Linked DNA regions of Pelodiscus sinensis. The protein of the gene in region 1 purifies or fractionates together with the protein of each later gene. This does not show direct contact. Links are inferred from orthologs where the notes say so. Each region holds a gene or a part of one and is shown in the gene's direction. Other genes may lie near its edges.

Region 1 (7,727 bases):
AAATCATGGTGGGAAAAAGCATATGTAGTGATAACTAATAGTAACTATTTGTATAACTACAGCAAACTCCATGGCAAAAGCAGATTTAAAAAATGCATGAGTTTACTGTAGTTTGTCTGGGAAGCTGTTCTTCACTACATTTTATTAGCATTAGCAAGCTGAAGATATCAGAGGGGTAGCCGTGTTAGTCTGAATCTGCAAAAGCAGCTTCTCCTCTCTTGGAATTCACACCTCCAGATCAGCTACTAGCAGTGGGCCTCATCCTCGGTGATTGGATCCACCTCGTCATCTCCAGCCTGATTCTGGCCTGCATATTTATACCTGCCCCTGGAAATTTCCACTACATGCATCTGATGAAGTGGGTCTTTGCCCACAAAAGCTTATGCTCCAACACTTCAGTTAGTCAAACATAATGTAAGCGGGGGAATGGTCCCGCTCTTGTGGGGAACTTTCCTGGCTTCTATACACCCCGGTGAAATGAACCAGCGAAAGGATCTGAGTCCCCGCTCCCACTTCCTTTACCCCACGGCTCCCTGATCCTGAGGGCTCCCCCTCCACTCTCCTGAGTAGCAGAGCCCTTGAAACCCCAACAAGGCTGGGCCCAGGTTTCCTGGGGCTTAACCCCTGACCTTGTAGTCACTAGGGGCAGGAGTTAGGGTGTCCCCACTCCGAAGTGCTCTCTTTACACTGCAGGCCTTCTTGGCCCAGTGATCACTTCATAAGGTTCAAAGCAAATACAATTTATTAAACATCAACTGATTAAAGAGAATAGAATAAGAAACAATGAGAATGGTTAAATGAGAACACACAGCCCTGCTCTGTAGCACAGGGACATCAAAACAGCAGTCTGCAGAGTTTAAGGACAGTCCACAGTCTCTTCCTTAGAAGCCCTGGAAGTGCTGCAAGGGGCTGCAGGCTGGACACGCTTGCACTGGCAGTGACCACACAGCCTCAGTCTCTAAGTGGCCAGACCCCTCTCCCAGTCCAGAGCCTTTCTCCACACTTTGCAGGTCCCAGTAGCTCACCACATCCAGCTGCAGGCTGTGCTGCTTGGCCAGTTCCAGCTCCTTGTGTTGCCTCTCTGTTCCTTTTGGCTTTCTGAGCACTGCCAGTCTGCTGCTCAACACAGGGTCTGCACTGCTTGGCCTGTCTGTGTCTGGTTCTGTCGCTGCAGGACTTCTTCTTGTACTCCTCTTTCAGCTCTCTGTCTTTGCAGGACCTCTTCTGCACACAGCTTGTTTGTTCAGAGACAGAGCCAGAACAATCCCCACTTACAACCTGTCAGTCAGGCTGAGCTGGAGTGTTGACTGCTTTCCATTGTCTCTGGGGTCTGTCAGTCTCATGAACCCTTCCCCTTCTGAAGCTGGTAAACCAAAAAACTCCCACAGAGTTTTAGTAAGGGGTAACAGTCCCCTTACAATAAGGTGCCACAGGACTCCTCGTCGCTCAAGTTGAAGATGCAGACCAAAAATTACATTACAAAGATGATGGAAAGTTTAGCAGGTCTGGTTGACATACTTACAAAAGACTGAAGTAGTGATAAACTCATTCTCATATTGGATATTTGTATTAATATTGGGGATTTGAGTGTGAAGCTAGATGGCTTATTGATGCTACAGAGGCAGAAAGCTGACGGGGTGAAAGAAGAGCTAGTTATGAACTTCCACACCAGTAGTCTGGAAAGTTAAATTGCACATTTAGGCCATGTCTACACTATGAGATAAGAGCAAATTTACTAAGGTCAGTTTTTTGTAGCACCTGATTTTGTCAAGGTCCATGTTCCTACTGTTCACATGAATTTGACACAATTCAAAGTAGCATGTCCACATGGGGGCTACTGTCAGTTTTGAGAGTTATGTATTCTGGTTAGCTATCCCACAGTTACTTCGCCCCTTGCATTCTGGGTTATGTTCCCAGTGTAAACTGGAACCAAAACTATGCAGTGAGTGCTTCTGGGGATATGTCGTCAGCATCTCATAGTGCACTCATCTCCTCCCCTTCACCCCACCACTTGAAAGCAGTGGTAAACAATCACTTCACACACTTTTTTCCCCTTGTTATCCACATATAGCACATAGCATGGACTCCATCATGGATTCTGTTGAGCATCAAAGCATTACGATAATCATATTACTCAGAGTGAGCCTTATCTTAGAGCATGTCCAGGGTCCGCTGGAGCGAGGAAGAATCTCGTCAGGCCATGAACATATTCTTTTGCAAAGCACTTGGGTTGAGCAACTGGAAATGCTGCCAACTTTCAATTCTCTGGACACATAGGGACATTGGTTCTGGTGCTATCGGAGAAGCACATAATGGTGGGATGGCATAGTTATGGGATGACTGGCAAGAGCTGCAAAACTTTTATATATGTAAGGTCACTCTCATGAAAGTTTGTATATGGCTTTCCCCCACCCTGAAGCACAAGAATACCAGAATGAGATCTGCTCTGACAGTGAAGTGAATGGCAATTGCCCTATGAAAGCTTGCAATGCCATACAGCTACCAGTCAGCTAGAAATCAATGTGGGGTGGGTAAGTGTGCTACTCAGGTGTGCTGCCTGCTCTGAAGTCTGCTAGCCAAACTGGAAATGAAATTCAAAATTTTCCAGTTCTTTTCCTGGTCACTTGGGGTATGTTTACACTAGCTCATTAATTCGAGCTAGATAGGCAAATCAGGCAACTGGAGTTGCAAATGAAGCCCAGGATTTAAATATCCCAGGCTTTATTTGCATGTTCCTGTCCGGACGCCATTTTTAAATCCCCCTTAGTTCGAACGAACTGCCTGCGGCTACACGCAACAGTTTAAAGTTAATACAAACTAAATTCTTAGTTTGGATTAACTGTTACTCCTCATGGAATGGAATGAGGTGTAACAGTTAATCCGAACTAAGGATTTATTTAAATCCTGGGCTTCATTTGCAACTCCGGTTGCCTGATTTGGCTACCTAGCTCGAATTAACGAGATAGTGTAGACATACCCTTGGAGAGCAGTAGAGTTGAAAGTCCTGGCCAGAGTGGACACTGTGGGGTACTATAGGATGCATGCTAGAAGCCAAAAACTATGGGGCTATGTCTACATTGGCGGGTTCTTGCACAAGAACACATCCACACTGCCATGTGCTTTTGCGCCAGAGCATCCATGGCAGTGTGGACGCTGTCTTGCGCAAAAAAGCTCTGATGGCCATTTTAGCCATAGGGCTTTCTTGTGCAAGAAGCCCCTGCCGTGTATCCACACTGCCCTGTTGCACAAGAGGGCTTACACTTGTTAGAAAAGAGCGTAACTCTTCTGACACCATACTGTAAATCTTCTTGCACAAGAGCAGGTGGGCAGTGTGGATGCTCTGAGGGTTCTTGCACAAGAACCCGCCAGTGTAGACATAGCCTGACAGGGGTGGCCAACCTGTAGCTCCAGAGCCACATGTGTCTCTTCAGAAGATAATATGGGACTCCTTTCATAGGTACCAAATCCAGTGCTGGAGCTGCAAGTGCCAACTTTCCACTGGTCCAGAGGCTGTTCAATCCCCAACTCTGCCCTAGGTGCTGTCCCCCTCTGCCCTTTTCTCCTAGGATCCTGCCACTTCCCACATTCTCCACTGAACCTGTCACACCCATGCTTCTCCCCTCCAGTGTCTCCCATTCAGAAAGAGCTGATCACAGTGGGCAGGAACAGGCTCTGATCAGTGGGAGTGGGGGGATGTGCTGACAGTGGTGGTGAGGACATGATCAGGGCTGGTGACATATAACTGCTCTTTGGCAATGTGTATTAGAAAATTCTGGCTCCTTCTCAAGTTTAGATTAGTCATGCCTGAACTACGACTTTCTCAGCATTGTGTCTGAACTACCATAAAGTTGACCATGCAAGGTCAAATTTAGTGTCATTCTAAGCAGGAGTTCCAAAATTGACCTTAACTGCACTTAAAGTCAACAGAATTGGGATGGGCATAGTGGTTTCACTGTTTAGCAAATCAACCTAAGACAGTCAAATTGACATAAGCTCCCAGCTTACACCCGGCCTTAGTTTTGCAAATGACCTTTCTGATTGCTAAATGCCCAGCTCAGGGCCTCAAATCAGAATTTTCCCTTTTCTGTTAAATCACTAGTGCCAAGGAATTGTCAGGAGTGGACAATGTAATACCCTGGTACTGACATTGCTTCTCTTGCCAGCTCTCTACCTTTTTCAGTGCAGCCAAAATGCAGTTGCGAAGGGGCCCCCAACCCTGGGATTTCTCTACCTGTGTCTGTAAACAAGCGGGGAGACAGCCCCCCCCCTCCCCGGGTGGGCTCGCAGAGGTGGGGGTGAGGAAGGACGCACAACCCCTGCCAGGCAGGGCGCTTGAGGGCGTCCCTACAGCAGGGTACGGAGCCGGCGGGCAGGGGAGACGAGGGCTGCGAAGCGCGGGACAGCAGCGGCTAACCGGCCACCAGCGTGCGACCCCCAAGGCGGGGAGGCGGCCCGGGCCGCTCCGCGGAGAGGGCAGCGCTGGAAGGCAGCGATCGCTCGCTCGCTGGCTGGCGCGGGCCGGGGCCGCTCAGCACTCCGGGGCGCGCTGCGTGTCGGCCACGGGCAGAGGAGCGCCTGGGGGACGGATCCTGGCTGCCCCACCCGAATGGTCCCTCCCACCCCTCTCCCGCGCGTGGTTTGTTCCTCCTCGGCTCAAGGAGACTCCGAAACAAACACTCCCAGCGCAGCGCGGCCGCGAAGGAGTCCCCCACCCTTTGCCTTCCCTTCGCTCTCGCGAGACTAGTCCAGCTTCTCCCTTAGCGCCCAGCAGGCCGCTGCTAGAGTTCTCGCGAGTTTTGGGCAGGTTCCCACGCCTGTTGCCGCTGTTGTGTCTGAAGGGAGAACCCGGGAATGAGGGGGTGGCGCGCTTCCCCCACTCTCTCCGCTCCGCGACCGCGTGTGTGTCTCACGGGCCCGTGCACGCGCGCACTCGGCCTGGGCTGGAGGAGGCAGCTCTCGCGAGAGTAGGAGTTTTGGCGAGAGTTTGTGGAAGATGGCGCCTGTTGTGACAGGGTAAGTGCGGGGGTTTCGCAGCGCCGGGCCGGGAGCGATTCCGTTCCGCGCTCACCGGCGGCCACGCTGGGCTTGCTGCTTCCCAGTTCTCCTTCCGGGGATGCGGGAGCAACTAGCCGGGCGGCCCGGCGGAGGCCCCGAGACTCGGACCCAGGGGGGTTGGGACCCCCAGGTGGCTGCATCAGGGAAGGCCCCCGGGCCATAGGCCGGGATCCTGAGGCGCATAGTGTGGGGTGGGGTGGGCCGCCCTTCCCAAATCCTGCGTGGGACGTGGGGGAGCCTTCGTGCCGGACACCCCCCTTTCCGAGGTGAATGCCTTTCGTGGGGTCGGAGCACCCTTAGCCACCGGCCCGGGGGCACTAGACAAAGGCTCTTGTCTCGCTGAGGGGAAGCTGAGTGCTGCTTCCCCTCCTTCGTAGTCGAGGGGGGCAGAGCACCTCCGTCGTCAGTCACCGGGCTGCGCTGAACTCACCAGGCGCTAGGTCCCATCAGTAGGACAAGCCTTTCCCCAAGCAAATCTCCTGCTCCCTTTCAGGAGTGGGTGGAAGTTCCCGTTTCCCTCTGCCTGTTCACCGTTCTTGGGGTTACAAGTGACTATCGGTGCCAGCAGAAGAGGAGAAGCCTTTCCCACTCCAGCTGCTCCTCATTGAGTCACAATAAAGACTAGCTGCCATCCTTATCAGCGCCACTGGGCCATACGGAATAATGACCTTCCACCTGTAATCTGTGTGATGTTAATCAGTGGCATATGACTAATCAGCTTTTGTTAGGTAATAATGGTAGACTCACCATAGTGGTACAGTGCATCAGCAGTCGTTTTACACATCTCTGCTACATCTTGAGTTACACTGCACATAGCAGGCATCATTCTCCACTCTTGGGTCACACTGTATAGTTTCATCCACTCCTCTGAATACATAGTGACTCTTGAGGAATGGGGCTACATGTACAATAGCAGGCCTTGTCTGCTCGCACCCTGATAGTACAAAACAAATTCCTGATGGGTCTTAATATTGTTGAACATCTTGACATGGTGGACTTAATTTGATATTTTTACAGTGATTGTCAAAGACACGCAGAATACTCTTTTACTCTTTTTCCTTGTTGAGATTACTCTGTCTCCAAACATGGCTATTTGGTTAGAGAGACTAGCATCCTGCCTTTGCTTTTTTTTTGGGGGGGGGGGGGGGGGGGGGAATATTGATAGTTGTTTTTGTTTTCTTGAGAAAAGTGGCATTATAGTATTTTTCTTGTTTCATTTTGGCCTCAGTGGTTGTTCCATTTTTGTTTCTTGGTTGTTGAGAACAAGATCTAAACTGCTGCCTTGGAGGTTGCCTGGTTTCTTTCATGTTCAAATGGAGCTTGCTTCTGCTGTGTTTTTTTCCCCCCCTAATACACATTCTTTAAGGCAGCAGGTGTTTGTTATGGTTTCTGTCTGGAACTATTTAGAATTGTAAGGATGAGGGAACAAGACGAAAAGTGCTTTAAAATGTTGCTTTAAATACTGCTGGGGTGGTTATGTATTAATTTTATTTCAGTTTATTTTCTTTTCATTTAATTTTCTGATCATTTGACAATTATATCCTTTGCTCGTTGATTATCAAAGTGCTGTCTAATGTTCTCAGGTTTGTGTCATCCTGTGTCTTAGGATATATATGCTACATTTTCACTAATTCATAAGCCAAATCCATAATGAAGTTTCTTATGAATTACAAAATCATGCTAACAGTAGAAGAAAGGCTTGTGCTTTAACACGAAAGGAGAAAAGTGTGCTGGAGGATTCTAAAGCCAGCTCCTCATGGGCATCGACTCCCCCCTCCCCCCCCCCGCCTCTTGCTTGTCAGTTAATTGTTTACTTGACTGTATGCTCACATCCCTACTCAAAACATGCATAATTTTAGTAATTCCTATTAAAGACTGGAATTCCTTGTCATTCCCTGTGACCCTGCATCAGAGTACTTACTGACGGTCAGAGTTGATAAATAAGACCCTGACTTATTTATTATTATGGATGATTGCTTCAAACATTTTGTATCACATAGGTAAGCTATAAAAGACATGTTAAGATTTATTATCAGGTGTGGCATTATTAAATTGACCTGCTGTCTGGTTGGTAGAACCTTGTTAAATCAGATGGCTACATTTTGACAGGTATAGTTTTAGTTTGCCACATAGATATTTAATGTTATAAAGGAGAATGAGCCAACTGGGATTTTGTCAGCTTTATCAGGTTCATGGATTAGTAATATTATATCTTAGTTTTGGATTAACAATGTTATATCCACAGTGAAAACAGTATGTTAAAATCTGATGACATTTAATAAGTGAAAATTTTTCATAAAGTACTGTAATAATTAAGAAACTTCCAATGATTCTAGTGTAAATCAGTCTCTCTCTCAAGTTTTAGAGAATAGCGGAGAAAACAGTTTGAAATTCAAAGTCTTTCTAGAATTAATAAATTCAAGAATATAGTTAATTACATTTTGCACTCATTTTCAGTGGTGGTATGCAATTTTTATTCACATTGAGATTGCTAGACAAAGTGTGTAAGTGAATGTTTGCGAATCAAACACAAGTTGAATGAATGCCTTTTTATAGAACCAGTCTTTCTGTGAAAACTCTGACTGCTAAAACTTAAATTACAGTAATACATCTATTCACTTGTGCCAGTAACCTGTTCATCAAATAGTGAGGTTAGCATTTCACCACAGAAG
Region 2 (7,859 bases), on another chromosome or scaffold:
GTTCTCTGCCAGTGCTAGTAGTTATGCCAGATCTGCCCAGCGAACTAGGTCAGCAGCATCCTGACCTATGAATCTTGACCTGTTATTTCAAGAAACTAGCTTTGATTGTGAACGGGACAGAGGATATTTGTGGGGCCAAGAGAACTCTGCTTCCCAAGTGTGAACTTAGCAGAGAAAGTGAAGAGCATCTAATTTAATTCATACTAGGGGGGAAAACAGAATGCTAGGCTACACCAATGCAAAGATGTGGGTTGCCTGCAATAAGGGAGGGTGGCAATTGGAACTCAAGCAAAGGTGTGCAGGATGAGAGGTGTGGCATGGTAAATGGATGGGCAGTGATCATTTCTTCTGAATTGTATCCCAAAGCATGTGTTGCCAAGAAATAGAAAAAAGCCATACTGATGAGCGTACAACTGGGAGAGACATGGCAATTTCATGCCTTGGATGGCCATGTTGAGTGGAGTGTAGGTTTCTGTGGAGTGCGTTATTTTAAATGCCCAGTTCACGTACTAGCGGGATTGGGATTCTAAGTAACCTTCCTAGAGGGGGCTGTGAGGCCTGGGCATTCCAAGAACTCTACTGAAATTGTGCCAAGCAAGAATGGACTTTAGGGAGAAATATGTGTCGAGGACTTCCTGGGAAATACCCAAGAAGGTGATCATGCAAATTGCCAGCTGGGATGGGGCGCTGACACATGCACACTCACCAGAATGCATGGGGAAAGGTGGCAGGAGAGGCCAATTGCCTTTAAAGTCGCACATGCTCACAAGCTCAGGGTCAATCAATCAGACTGAGACTGAAGCACAGCTGGGCAGGAACAACTGGGGCTTGTGTAAAACCAAGATGCTGGCTGCAGAGGCAGGGAGGTGGCCTGCAGCTGCACACCCTGGTATGAGAGAGAGCAGGAGCCTGAGGAAAGCAGGGTAGGAAGCTATGGAGGGAAAGAATAGTGATGTCTGGGAGCTAGACCCGAGCCACTAGTCTGAGGATCCCTGGATTGGAACCCAGTGTAGAGGGGGGCTCAGATTCCCTTTCCAGGGGCACACTCAGCACAGAGGAGAGAGACTGCCTGAGACTGAGGCAGGGGAGACTGATAATACTCCAGAGGGGAGGACAAAGGTGACTTGCCTGGAGGACTAAGCCAGCGAAGAGTGGCCAGCAGAAGAGCCTGGTGGCACTACACCTAGGCACAAGTGGGTACTCTAGAGTTGTGTGTGTACCCTGCTACATAATGGTTCCAGAAGTGGGATTGTGCACACTCCTCTCTGAGGAAGCAGGGGAAGAGCCCATCTGCCTTAATGGTGAGGGGTAGGCAGCCAGACTGTGGCTAGCATCTCAACAGGAGCAGACACGTTCTCTTTTGTTACCTCTACTGCAAGAGCAGAGAGATTTCCTGCAGTGCCTAGAAAAATGCAGAAGTGGATTGGGCAAGTTTGTGGGAAATAAAGACTTTGTGTGAGGAGAGGAAAGAAACTGTCCTGACCATAGACCCTGATTGGCTGCCCCAAATGTGACCTGTAAAAGGTCTGAAAGCTTCATGAGAACATTGCAAAGGAGGCCCTGCAAATACATATCCAAGATGGAGAATTCTGGAAAGAACGTCATGAAGATGATGAAAGGTCAGGGAGCAGCTTGGGCTCTGGAAGCCTGGAGTGAGGAAGTCCCAGAGTCTGGACAGCTGCACTCTTGACCCAAGCCTTCTGAGCCTGAATCAGCTGAGGTGAGTCAGCCATGAGTGTGTTATGCAATGCAGATGTATCTGGTGCAGACCCAGACTCAGGGTTGGGTAACAGTATATAATGGGGGCAGCACACTGCTGGGCCAGTGTAGGGTCCTGCAAAGGAAGTCCAGATATTTGGGCATTTGCAGGTAGAAGACGACTTCAGTAGCCTGACAGCAGCATTACTCAGATTTAGATTTGTTCGAGATACCCCGGGAAGGGTTTGAACTAAGGATGTTAAGGACTAGTCGACTAGTTGGCTACGTCTAGACTGGCATGATTTTCCACAAATGCTTTTAACGGAAAAGTTTTTCCATTAAAAGCATTTGCAGAAAAGAGCGTCTAGATTACCACGGATGCTTTTCCACAAAAGCACTTTTTGCGGAAAAGCGTCCGTGCCAATCTAGACGTGGTTTTCCGCAAGAAAGCCCCGATCGCCATTTTTGCCATCGGGGCTTTTTTGCGCAAAACAGTTTTTAGCTGTCTAAACTGGCCCTCTTGCGCAAAAACATTTCCGGAAAAGGGCTTTTGCCCGAACGGGAACGTCAAAGTATTTGCGCAAGAAGCACTGATTTCGGACAGTAGAACATCAGTGCTTTTGCACAAAATCAAGTGGCCAGTGTAGACAGCTGGCAAGTTTTTGTGCAAAAGCAGCCACTTTTGTGGAAAAACTTGCCAGTCTAGATGCAGCCGTTGATTCCCCCTCCTTGCTGCCTCTCTCAGAGGCAGCAAATGGGGGGGAAAGAGGGGGCTCTTCAAAGCGGCAGTGCCGCACAGCTGAGCCTGGGATCAGCTGTGTGGCACTGTTGCATGTGGAGCCTGGGGTTAGCTGGGGACTCCCTAGCTGATCCTGGGCTCTATGTAGTATTTCAGTGGAACCCAGCGTCAGCTGGGGAGCCCCTAGCTCCACGTGGCATTTCAAATCTGCAGTTCCTTGCTAACCCCGGGCTCCATGCTGCGCTGCCACTTTGAAATGCACAAGAGCCCCTGCTGGGACTCATACTTTTCAAAGCTGGTCCCTGCATGCAGCCCAGAGTCAATGGGACTTCCCGCGGGCCCTGGGCTGCACAGGGAGTTCTGCATTCCTCCTTTGAAATGTACAAAAGCCTCAGCAGGGGCTCTTGTACATTTCAAAGGAGGAATGTGGAAGTGGGTATGAACTAGTTGAGTAGTCCATGCAAATTCCATTGACTAGTCAATTAACTGTTACTTAACATCCATAGTTTGAACTTTGTGAGTTGACTGAAGGTTTGAGCCACAAGAGCTGGAGCCAAAAGCAGTTGCCCAGTAGATGCTGGAGCTGAGGATCTTTGGTGACATTGCAGCTGGACAAAAGCGTGAATGTGCCCCTCCACAGTCAGATACGCGGATGTGCCAGAGTGGGGAACAGCCTTGACAATGTACTTCCACAACAGGTGGTATGTGAGGTCTCTACCAAGAGCCAATAGCCCATTCAACAGCATAATCGCTGCAAAATGGATGGATGGATAGTATTTTAGGAGCTGTGTCTAAACAGAAAATGATGTTCTCAGGGAAGTTTAACCAGCAGGTGACATCTCTGCCAGGTCCCTTTAAAGCAAACATTCCTCTCTCTGCCTGGTCAGGTGCTACTGGGCATTGTTTGTTTCTCAGTGTAGGCCTGTTTGCATGATTAAGAACCAGAATGCTAATCGAGGGATTGTGCAATCTTCCAGTGGAAACTTACCAGAAGAAACAAAACAGCAGGAGGGGATCCTGCCTGGGAGTGAAGACAATGGAGTGCTGGGAATTAATCCCAGCTAGGCATGCAGAGGAGGAAAGCAGTCAGTGTGACTAGCCTGGTGGAAAAGGGACAGGGGTGAAAGGATGTCAGGTGAGCATTGCAGGAATGCAGTTAAGTCTGGGGCTCTAGAACATGTTATAAATGGAGCCACGTGTTTCCAGTACCGCTACTGGCTGTCACTTGAATCTGTCTTCATGGTTAAATAAACTTGCTCTTACTCTCACTGTAAACATGTCTAAGTGTGTGTGGTGCAAAGCTGAGGTGGGCTGGGTAAGCTGCAGATACAGGTCTATGGGGAGCGGGGCCTGGCGGAGGCAGGGCCTGGAGCATGCTGGCTGCTCACCTGTAGTGAGGGAGCTGGGATGCTGAGACCTAGAGAGCAGGGCTCCTTGCCATTGGAGATGGTGGGGTGCCTCCGAGCCCAGGCATCGCGCTGCACCCTGCCCTGGTGGAGTTCCCCCTGTAGGACTCCCGAACCCTGGGGAAGGGCCCTTTGGTTCCCCCAGCTCCCTGGGGTAGAGGACTGTCTAACTCCCTTACGCTCTGACCCACTTCACCCCCTCACTGGTCTGCCTACCATGGAGTGTCTGGCTTCCCCTGCTCCCCAAGCTTCCCAGACTGGAAGGGAAGAGAGGCTGTGCCTGCCCCCCGCCCCCGGGCTCCCTGGCTGGACTGGGGAGCTATATCTGGCTCCCCCCTAGGACCCTGTGACGGGGGGGCTGTATCAGCCCCCCCCAGGGATTCCCTGGCTAGCAGGGCAGTATCTGGGCTCCCTGGCGGGGGGGCTGTGGTTGGGGGGTCTGTCTGGGTTCCCTGGCGGGGGGGGGGCGCTGTGTGGCGGGGGGGGGCTGTGTCTGGGTTCCCTGGCGGGGGGGGGGCGCTGTGTGGCGGGGGGGGGCTGTGTCTGGGTTCCCCGGCGGGGGGGGCGCTGTGTGGCGGGGGGGCTGTGTCTGGGTTCCCCGGCGGGGGGGGGGGGCGCTGTGTGGCGGGGGGGGGCTGTGTCTGGGTTCCCCGGCGGGGGGGGGGGGGCGCTGTGTGGCGGGGGGGGGCTGTGTCTGGGTTCCCCGGCGGGGGGGGCGCTGTGTGGCGGGGGGGGGCTGTGTCTGGGTTCCCTGGCGGGGGGGGGCGCTGTGTGGCGGGGGGGCTGTCTGGGTTCCCGGGGGGGGGGGCTGGGGCTGGAGCTGGGTTCCCGGCGAGGGGACGGGGGGGGGGCTGTCGGGTTCCCGGGGGGGGTGCAGCGGCCCCCCCCGGTGCCGGGCTCGCGGCGGGCGCCCCCTACCGGCCGCTGCGGGCGGCGCGCAGGAAGCGGGGGCGGGGCGGGGCGGGGCGGGGCGGGCGGCGCGAGCCCGGATCCCTCCGCTCCCGGCCGCGGCCCCCGATCGCTCCGCGCGGCCCGAGCCGCCGCCTGCTGCCTCCGCTCGGGGCGATGCGGGGGGGCCCGGCGCTCGGGGCGCTGCTGCTGCTGCTGGTCCGCGGGGCGCCGGGTGAGTGCGGGGGGGAGACTGCCCCCCCCCCCGAGAGACCCCCCCCCCGGCTCCTGCCCCCTCCGGCTCCTGCCCCCCCCGAGAGACTGCCCCCTTCCGGCTCCTGCCCCCCCCCGAGAGACCCCCCCCCCGGCTCCTGCCCCCCCGAGAGACCCCCCCCCGGCTCCTGCCCCCCCGAGAGACCCCCCGGCTCCTGCCCCCCCCCCGAGAGACCCCCCCCTCCGGCTCCTGCCCCCCCCGAGAGACCCCCCCTCCGGCTCCTGCCCCCCCCCGGGAGACTGCCCCCCCGAGATACTACCCCCCCCCGGGAGACTGCCCCCCCCGGGAGACTGCCCCCCCCCCGGCTCCTGCCCCCCCCCGAGAGACCCCCCCTCCGGCTCCTGCCCCCCCCGAGAGACCCCCCCCTCCGGCTCCTGCCCCCCCCGAGAGACCCCCCCCTCCGGCTCCTGCCCCCCCCGGCTCCTGCCCCCCCGAGAGACTGCCCCCTTCCGGCTCCTGCCCCCCCGAGAGACTGCCCCCTTCCGGCTCCTGCCCCCCCCGAGAGACTGCCCCCTTCCGGCTCCTGCACCCCCCCCGAGAGACTACCCTCCCTCCGGCTCCTGCCCCCCCCCCGAGAGACCCCTCCCTCCGGCTCCTGCCCCCCCCCCGGAGAGACCCCCCCTCCGGCTCCTGCCCCCCCCGAGAGACTGCCCCCCCCCCGGAGTGACTACCCCCCTCCGGCTCCTGCCCCCCCCGGAGAGACTGCCCCCCCTCCGGCTCCTGCCCCCCCGGAGAGACTACCCCCCCTGCTCCTGCCACCCCCTGGGGAGACTGCCCCCCCGAAGAGACTACCCCCTCTCCGGCTCCTGCCCCCCCCGGAGAGACTGCCCCTGCCCGGCTCCTGCCCCCCTCCCAGGGAGACTGCCTCTGCCCCCCCTGGAGAGACTGCCCCTGCCCCGGTCCTGGCCCCCCCCCCGGGAGACTGCCCCTGCCCGGCTCCTGCCTCCCCCCCGGGGAGACTGCCCCTGCCCCCCCCGGGGAGACTGCCCCTGCCCCCCCTGGGGAGACTGCCCCTGCCCCGCTCCTGCCCCCCCCTCCCGGGGAGATTGCCCCTGCCCCGGTCCTGGGCCCCCCCCGGGGAGACTGCCCCTGCCCTGGCTCCTGGGCCCCCTCGGTGGGGCCCCTTGGTGCGACTGTCCCTGCCCCTGTCCTGGGGCCCCTCCGCACAGGGGACCTTGCCCTGCCCCGTCTCCTTTGGGTCCCGTTGGTGTGGCGGTCTCTAGGGTGTGTGGTCTCCCTGCCATGCAGTACTATTTAGGGGCCTGCTCTGGCCCCGTTGCCCAGGGGGTCTCGTTGGTTTGGGGGTCTCTGGGGAGCTCACTCTTCTCCCATCATCCCAGCTCCCCTTCTTTGTGTCCCTTGGAATCTGACCTCTGCGCCTCCCTGCCTCAGGGCCTGCAACGAGTGTGGTGGGGTGACACCCCCGTAACCTCCCACGCCTGGCCCCACAAGTGTGGGGATGCGCATGGGAAGAGGAGCGTGTCCACTGCCTCTGCCAGCCCCCCAGACAGGGAGATGGAGGGAGACTGCCAGCCTGCCTCAGTACAAATTCAGACGTGTTAATGAAACTCTACAAATCAATAATGGCAACTTGGGGTTGGGGTGCTCTGTTGGGTTCCCTGTTGTGTTTACAAGTTGCTTGTGGCAGTGCATGGGAGCCGGGCAGGATATCGGACTAGAAACCGATGTGGAAAAACATGGGTCTCTTGTTTTGGCTAGGGAAGCACAGAGTGCATAGACAAGCACCCTGCGATATGAAATGTAATTCATTGCTAATGTAAAGTGTTATAGGTAACAATACAGGGAATTAAAGTACTTGTGCTGACTTTACTGTGCCTCTTGGAGCAGAGCAGAGTACCGCTTGAGGGCCCAGATCACCAGTTCTGGAGTTTTCACTGACTTCTGCGTGTTTAGCATGTTGCACTTGTGACACTATTTGGGGGTGAGAGAGGTATCCAGGGCAGATCTCTGTCACCTGCCCGCAGCATGAGACAGCCTCGTCTGTGCCCAAAGGGGAAGATTCCCTCAAATTTGCCAGCCACTGGGAGGACAAGCGCTCTGCTGCAGGGTCCATGGGCCTCACCTTCTGCTTGTACAGGCTGCCCCCCCTTTGATACACTCAGGTGCCGGGTCCCTTCTCTTCCATGTACCCACACAACGTTCACTCTTCTACTGCCTCCCTGGAGCAGTGCCCCAGCTTCACCTCAGTGCCACACTCTCTTTAGTGCATGGCAAGTCCTGTCTATAGTAAACCCAGATAGGAGTTTTTTTAGCAAAGCAAAGATAAAGATCTAAAACAGACACAAGTGAAAAGGCTGGAAACATGAGGTTACAGAGAAAAGAAAAACATTACATGCAAATCTAGTGCCTCTACTTTTTTAAAGAAGTTCTGTACCCATCTAGTAAGATACTTCTTACCCAGTGATCAGTTCTTACAGCATTTGTCCAATCTAGAGAAGTGGTAGCGACTGTTCCTGAAACACTCACGCAGGTGTCACCTTGGTAATGGATAACATCTTTCTTCTTGTCTGAGACAGCACCAGACTTTTGTTCCTTCAGAATCTGGGTGTTTCATTAACTTCAGCTCATCTCTGGGTCTCTTAAGTATTTTCTACACCAGTGGTGTTCACAGTTACTTGGCTTGTGAACCACATGCTCAAGCCGGCATTTGATCCAGCCTGTAAGCACAGGGCTGGGTTAGATCAGGTTGAAAGATGTTGACTGCACTCATTCTTGATTGAATTAGCTGAGACACACACCTCTCCTCAGGTGACATGCCTCACTGCATACAGTTTTCGAACAGAAGTCTGTACATTTTATATCTCTCCAAAATTTCCCCTGCAATTTGCAGTAA

The links. Proteins that work in one complex are often made in the same cells at the same time.
Region 2: the proteins of RBPJ (region 1) and NOTCH2 purify together in Homo sapiens (affinity purification with mass spectrometry; 3 studies listed by BioGRID and IntAct, counting the BioPlex papers as one, with this or other methods). This does not show direct contact. The link is inferred for Pelodiscus sinensis from reciprocal best matches to the Homo sapiens genes RBPJ and NOTCH2.

What each region holds. Positions count from the first base shown.
Region 1 is NC_134715.1:101,460,275-101,468,001, reverse strand, and holds the start of RBPJ (recombining binding protein suppressor of hairless), read left to right. Parts: upstream 1-4,696; 5' UTR 4,697-4,993; coding exon of another isoform or gene 4,994-5,013; intron 5,014-7,727. UniProt on the Homo sapiens protein: Transcriptional regulator that plays a central role in Notch signaling, a signaling pathway involved in cell-cell communication that regulates a broad spectrum of cell-fate determinations.
Region 2 is NW_027465903.1:258,814-266,672, reverse strand, and holds the start of NOTCH2 (neurogenic locus notch homolog protein 2), read left to right. Parts: upstream 1-4,811; 5' UTR 4,812-4,908; coding exon 4,909-4,966; intron 4,967-7,859. UniProt on the Homo sapiens protein: Functions as a receptor for membrane-bound ligands Jagged-1 (JAG1), Jagged-2 (JAG2) and Delta-1 (DLL1) to regulate cell-fate determination.